2 linked regions of the Mus musculus genome follow. The protein of the gene in region 1 interacts with the protein of each later gene in a pairwise test. Links are inferred from orthologs where the notes say so. Each region holds a gene or a part of one and is shown on either strand. Other genes may lie near its edges.

Region 1 (3,914 bases):
CAGGGTTTCTCTGTGTAGCCCTGGCTATCCTGGAACTCACTCTGTAGACCAGGCTGGCCTCAAACTCAGAAATCCTCCTGCCTCTGCCTCCCGAGTGCTGGGATTAAAGGCGTGCGCCACCACCGCCCTGCTGTCCAGCACTCTTAACTGCCGAGCTGGCCCCTCCTCTGCTTAGGTTGATAGGTTTCTTGGGTATTACAGTTGGCTTTTCTACTTTCACATGTCTGCTGATGTAATCTGGGAGTTACATGTGCTAGGTTCTACCACTCAATTGTATTTTCTGCCCAGACATTTGCTCTTTCTCTGTTCTATGGCCATTTCCTCCCTACCTGTCATAGTCTGTTGACTTGTACCATCCACCATACTTGAGTTTCTTATCTTTGTAGTCTCTTTATTCCTAGATTACTCCAAACCTTCTGTTGTCTACATGTCTACTTTTCTACATCATTTTAAAAGATTACTTAGTCTTATGTATATGGGTGTTTTGTCTGCATATAAGTCTGTGCACCATATATATGCAGTGCCTGTGAGGCCAGAAGAGGGTTCTGATATCCTGGGACTGAAGTTACGGATGGTTGTGAGTCACCATTTAGGTTCTAGGAATCCAACCTGGGACTCTGGAAGAGTAGCCAGTGCCTGGTCTTATCTGCTATTTCTCTAGCCACTCTAATTACATATTAAACACTGTTTCCCCTACTGGGTCTAAATAACCTCTCTGTGAGAACCCTATCTATCCCCAGTTCTATTATGTTGTGCTAACCTGTTTCATTACTCTCATGTTTATTTCATGGGAAGGAATGTTTGGCCTCAGTCTCATTTACAAGTTCCCTACCATTTTTATGGGTAATTTTAAGGTACCCGAAACAAATTTCCAACGCATTGAGATTTCCCTGGAAGTGCACACTTTTAGACTAACTTTTGAAATGACTTTCTCTCCCCTCTCCAAGAAGGACTTGGAGCGCCTGACTTTTCCTTTACAAGAGTTAGTATGTGCCATTGAACCTGGATTTTTTGAGACAGATATACTGTACCCCAGGTTAGCCCCAAACTCATGTCAGCTCTCCTGTCTCAGCCTTTCAAGTTCTCGGGTGACAGGCTACTTGGCTACCTTGTACCGGAATGAAATAAAGTCTTTAAATACACCCACCAACTACCCTAGTTTTGAGCCATTTCGTAACACTATTTTTCAGAGAAAACAGGAAGTCTTTCTCTACTCTACCTGCAGCTTCGACGTATCCTGTTCGTCAGCTCGAGCCCGCCCCTTCGCCGCGGTCCCTAGTTACCTCTAGCACAATGACTAACGTCACTTAAGGCCTCCGTTCCGCCCCTCTGGGGAAGGGGGCGGGGACACGCGTGCCCTCCCTACGCATGCGCACCCCTGCTCTCCGCCTTGGTTCCGGCTTCTCCTCCCGGCTTTCTCCATTCTCGAGCGGCTGGCTCCTGGGGGAGGGGAATCGTTTCAGCCAATCGTGTGGCACTACGACGCCGAGGCGCTTACCTCCATCGGTTTCAGCCAATGAGCTAGCCGTTCTCTCACGTCACAGACTTTGCCCCCTCCTATTCCCCTGCCACTCTGGCCTCAGTCCGCGCAGTAACAAGGAGTGCGCGCTGCGACACCTCCCAGTTCCCCCGGCCCCGCCGCCATTTCGTCGCCGGGCCTAACGGTTCGGCCAATCCCGACCCATATTGAAAAGAGCCAGTGCTCCACCAATCGGAGGCCGCTGCCTCCGACCTCACCTCGGGCCGGCCCAATCCAGGCCGCGGCCCCTCCGCCCCGAGCCCGCCCCCGCGGCGTCCTTTCTCCTCCCTCTTTGTGCGTCTGGCGCCGCCGCCGCCCGCCGCGTGAGAGGACGGGCTCCCCGCGCTCTTCAGCCGCGTAGTCGGGTCCCCTCCCCCCCACCTCCAGCTCCCGGAAGGTTCGTGAAGGAGAAGTCGCCGCGGAGGACGAGGAACCGCTGCTGCCGGTCCCCTGGGGCGCCATGGCGACCGGAGCGAACGCCACGCCGCTGGGTAAGCTGGGCCTACCAGGCCTTTCCCCACTTCCTGGGCCCAGAGGCAGCTTCAAGCCCAGCCTATTGGCGCTCGGGACGCCGCTGCCGGGGGCCCTAACCACGGCCTTGTCCTTAGCGGCGGTGCCGTCACCGCCGCCGCCCCCGGCCTCGTACCCGCCATAGCAGCCGCCCCCGCGCCGCCGCCGCTCTTTTCAGCGAGGGTCGCCTCCGCGCCAGGACCAGCAGCCGGGCCAGCCCGGTGGCGGCGGAGGTGAGTCGGGCCGATAGAGCGCGAGAGTCGTCGGGCGAACCGAACCGGCCGACGGAGGGGCAACGCCACCGCGGTTGGACGCGGCGAGGACGCGCGCGCGCGCACGGGAGGCCCGGGCGGACGCGCCACGGGGAACGCGCGGCCTGGTTTGGGAGGCTTCGATTGCGCACGCGCACCGCGAGAACCAGAAGGGCGGGAGGAAGCGTTCTTCGCGCAGACGCAGTGAGGCGTTCAGGCTTTGTGGCGCAATTGTGGTAGTTTTGGAAGAAGCCACCTGTTGCCCCCTGAGCTCCTGCTATGGAGGACAGGAGAGTCAGGTCCACGGGACGACGTGGTGTGAGTGGCTCCCTTGATGGTTTTTAGCAGCCCCGTGGCAGGAGTGTCTCCTTTCACAGTGAGGCGAGTTCGGAAGGCTACTAGGGATGCTTGAGTTCGATCATTTATTAAAGGTTTTCTCCTTTTGTTTTCTAGAAGGTTCTCAGAGTGACCAGCTTTCCCCGTGCTGTTTTAAAAGGCTTTTTCTCTGGGCCTGTAATCTGAGAAGTAGAAAACCTTGTGTGGTAAATGTAGGGAAGAATGTAATAAATCAGAGTTCTGATGACAAGTGTCCACTGGTCAGGAAAACTGATCTTTCCACGAGTAAGAATGGTCATATTGAAGGATGGCATGTTTCCCACAGTAATGTGTAGCAAGAGATTTGTTGTGTACTCTTGTAGCTTGAGTTCCAATGCTTTGTGGGCCTCATTCCAGTTTCCTCTTTTCTGCCCTTTAAGGCATTCAGAATTGATAATATGTATCTGTACACTTCTGATTCTGGGTTTCTGTGCATTAAGTCTTGGAAGCAAGGGCATGATGGTTCATGCTTTTAATCCTAGCACTCTGGAGGCAGAGGAAGGTGGGGCTTTGAGTTTGATGCCAGTCTACATAGTTTAAGACTGCCAGGGTTCTCTAAAGGGACTTCTGTCTCAAAAAACAAACAAAAGATCCAAAGAGTTGGAGATATGCATCAGTGGTAGAGCTCTTACCCAATATATGCAAAAACTCTGATGTTAACACTACAAAAGAAATGTGTTCCTTGTTACATTCTCTAGTATTTTCGTTTTAAAAGAACTAAATGTGAACTGTTCCTTAACTTTCCTGACAGGAGGATCTTTAAAATGGCTGCTTGTTTTCTCTGACCTCTGAGATTTCTTTCTTTTTAAAAATTTAGGTGATTTCAGTTTAGTTTTAATTATCATGAACTGCTTGCCTTCTGGTTCATATTTCTGCCTGATGGGCTCTGTCTGTCTTTAGACTTCCCAAGTAAGAAGAGGAAGAGGAGCCGATGGAACCAAGACACAATGGAGCAGAAGACAGTGATTCCAGGCATGCCTACAGTTATACCCCCTGGACTGACTCGGGAACAGGAAAGAGCTTACATAGGTAAATACACGTTCTACATCCAGGTGCATCTTCAGATTGTTACTGCAGATTGTTCTGAGTGATGAACCTGTTGAAAGTCTTAAGATTTTAGTCATGGGAACAAGGTGTGATGAGCTATGCTTTCATAGCTGTGTAATCCGTGATTTGCTTGGCCAGTCCTGCATTTGCAGCTTCTTGTTTGGGCCTGCTCTTAGCTCGGCAGCCCCCTTCTCAGCTGCTGTTCTTGCTCA
Region 2 (3,158 bases), on another chromosome or scaffold:
AACCCTGGGTATTCAACTTCTAATGGACTTCCTTGAAGGACCTCCAATCCAGAATTGAAACAAGATATTCATTCCGTAGACTGGCTTTGAGGGAAACAAATGCCCAGGCTGTGCCTGAGGCCCCAGGGACACTCCTGGAATTGGTGGTGCAAAGAGGTACAATGGCAAGGTTTCAATTGCAGTATCTCTTGCTACTTCTTCCTGCCGCCTCTCTCCTTGAGGGCCAAGTGGATGACAGCACCACTGGCCATGTTGTAGTAAGCCAGGGAGTTGGAATCCTTGATGAAGATGCCCTGGAAGACAGACAAATGTCTTAATGGACACCACCTGTCTTTGACCACATGCAGCCTCACACAACTGAGCTTACTGCTATTCTAGACTTCACTACTATGGAAGCTTAAGGGAAGGTCAGCGAAGTATGGAACTTTGGCTTCTTCTAGAACATCTCTTTTTCCTTCCTTCTTTCTAACAGATGCAAAGTAAGGAACTTTGTCAACATTTGGTTTAGTTTTCAACTTCCCAAACATTAGCCATGACCAAACTAAAAGGCACAGCTGACTTCTCAGGTCAAAAGACCTTTAGTGATTATCTTTTTCAACACCCTATTTCACACAGGAAGAGAGGAAGCCCCAGAAAACCTGAATACCCCTTTGCACCTCCATAAACAACCAGGCTGCCTAAGATCCCATCACTGGTCTGCTCCCCATCCAGAGACCAAGGCTTTTAGACCCGAATTATACTATGCTGTCAGAACCCAGCACTATTAGGTCCACCTGCCCCCGCATTCCAGCTGGATCACTTCTAGGATGGCCTCATCCAGGTCTCTCTCCATCATACTTTCTACAGATTGTTTCAGGGATGGTAGAGGAATTGGAACCTAAGGGGCAGGACCCTTGCTTACTTCATACTGTAGTTTCTGTTTCCCCGCAGGCATGCCCGTGGCTTCATGAATCTTCACTTTGATGACAGAGACCTGTGGGATCACAGAAAGTTCATTCATTCTCTTGTTAAGACCATCTGGAAAAAGCTGACCCAACCCACTGACTCCAAAGCACCTGTACCAACTGGGGGTGGCAAAACATACCTGGTCTGTGAGTGGGAGAGTGAAGACCAGCCCCTGACCATTCAGCTTCCATTCCGTCTTATCCTGCATGTTGGGTACCTGCACTTTGATGGATACTGGACCCTGCAAAATGCAGTGCTCATTATGTCTGGAAAGCCCCAAGCCAATTAGGAACTATGCTGTGCTATCAGTTGCTCATCCAAACAACGACTCCTGCCCCTCTCACCCCTTTACTGCTGATACCAGGTGTGACACTACACAGGCTTCATTTCTTCTTTATTTTTCTAGACAGGCTTAAAGGTAGGGGTCAGGGCTAGCCTAGGCTGACCTCAAACTTCCTGCCTCTAGAGTTCTGAGATTGTAAGTGTATATTATCATACTGTTTCATTCCCATTCCTTAAATATTCCTTAAAATTCCACTGAATTCTGCAAACTCAAGGACCAGCAGGGTAAAGATATGGTCTGTGAAGTACTGGTTTCAAACTCAGCAGACAAGACACCTAAGCTTGCCTGTGTCAAAACAGACTGGTGGGAACACTAAAGAGAATAGTCTGAACCTTTGGTAGGTGTTCAAAGAATAGACACACATTAGCTAGTTTGTCAAATTTATGGGCCAAATCTCTTGGGACTGTCACTGCCTTCTCACCAAAGCCTAACAGCTTTGTCAGAGACCACCAGTACCAATATAGAGTCCTTATTCCAGAATGCCAGCAGAATCCTACTCCAATGAGCACCTTCCCAGAGCAGGGAGAGAGAGATCTGAATTTAATAACTGTGCTGAGCGAGACTTCCTAGAGCTGGTTTAGTGATCTGTCACCTCACTCCTGTGATAATGTCTTAGCAGCCGCATCTCCACAGGAGTCCACACTACCACAAGCTCCCAGCTACTGACCTCACATTACAAACATCCCCAGAAGCTTCGTATGGCTGACTGACATCCCAGGAACTAAAGGCATGGGATAGTACATAACTGGGGCTTGGGTAACCCATGCTGCTGCCGGATACTGCAGGGCACAAGCAGTTTCCTGGGTCACAGACCTTGTTCCTGCGCAGGAATTCTTCCTCAGGCATGAGACTGTCCTCGGTCTTTAGTTTCTTGGATGGAGGCTCATCCTCCATAGGAGGTGGGGGGTGTACAGGAGGCATTGGAGCTGGGGCTGGGACTGGAGCCACAGGTGGGGCAGGCACAAAGGCTGCAAGGACAAGGAACAGTTGCCTAGTGAGTACAGAAGAGGTGAAGAGGCCCAAGAGGCAGGACTAGGGAGATTTTGCCGGGTGATTTCGAGGCTTTGCTCTGTAAGAGGTGTGAAGTGCCATGCCTTGATGAGTCTGTCACTCAGCACATTCCCTGGCAGGGAGCCTTGGGAGGCTGCCCGAATTAGGCAGCAGGAAAGGGGAGGCAGTGCAAGGTCAGCCAAAAAATAGTTATTGTCAGGCTTCTGGACCTGTCAAGGACCCGACCACCAAATGTAGACACACTAGCTATGCCATCTCAGTCTCTTGTCTCTCACAAGAAATATGGCTCCCAGGTCCCAGTTGAGACTTCCTCTGGGATGGATACTCAGTGGGAACAGCCATCATTAAGGCTAACCACAGCTTTATGGACTAACCCATGAGATGAGAAAGCAACACTACACACCGACCTGTTGGCACAATCATGGGAGGTGGGCGGGGCGCCATGATGGGAGGTGCTGCAGGAGGCATAGGTACCACATTGATCCTGGGTGCGTGGATGATGGGTGGCATGGGGGCAATCACTGAGCCTGGGGGCAGCCGGACCACAGATGCCATGGGTGGCCGAGGCATGACAGGTACTGCAGATACAACAGTGGTGCGGACTGGAGGTGGCATCTGAGGGTAGGAGGAGACACATAAGCCACAGGAAGCCAAGGCTCAGCTTCAAGAACACACCAACTGGTCACTCAGGATGGGGGTTGGACAACTTGGACTCTGCTCATCACTGAGACTCAAGTTTCACCTCAGGCCAATGATAGAAACTTGATGCTGAGAGTTCCAGGGTAATACTTTTTACCTGGGACTTAGTGGTTCAGATTCAACCAGCAATTCATGGCAGACAGCACCATTAAAGAGGCTG

The links.
Region 2: the proteins of Sf1 (region 1) and Sf3a1 interact in binary tests that used the Homo sapiens proteins (3 or more experiments, as listed by UniProt). The link is inferred for Mus musculus from reciprocal best matches to the Homo sapiens genes SF1 and SF3A1.

Annotation. Positions count from the first base shown.
Region 1 is NC_000085.6:6,362,109-6,366,022, forward strand, and holds the start of Sf1 (splicing factor 1), read left to right. Parts: upstream 1-1,581; 5' UTR 1,582-1,979; coding exon 1,980-2,010; intron 2,011-2,411; exon of another isoform or gene 2,412-2,598; intron 2,599-3,555; coding exon 3,556-3,684; intron 3,685-3,914. UniProt on the Homo sapiens protein: Necessary for the ATP-dependent first step of spliceosome assembly. Binds to the intron branch point sequence (BPS) 5'-UACUAAC-3' of the pre-mRNA. May act as transcription repressor.
Region 2 is NC_000077.6:4,177,169-4,180,326, reverse strand, and holds part of Sf3a1 (splicing factor 3A subunit 1), read right to left. Parts: intron 2,915-3,158; coding exon 2,707-2,914; intron 2,257-2,706; coding exon 2,102-2,256; intron 1,187-2,101; coding exon 1,085-1,186; intron 974-1,084; coding exon 902-973; intron 294-901; coding exon 192-293; 3' UTR 1-191. UniProt on the Homo sapiens protein: Component of the 17S U2 SnRNP complex of the spliceosome, a large ribonucleoprotein complex that removes introns from transcribed pre-mRNAs.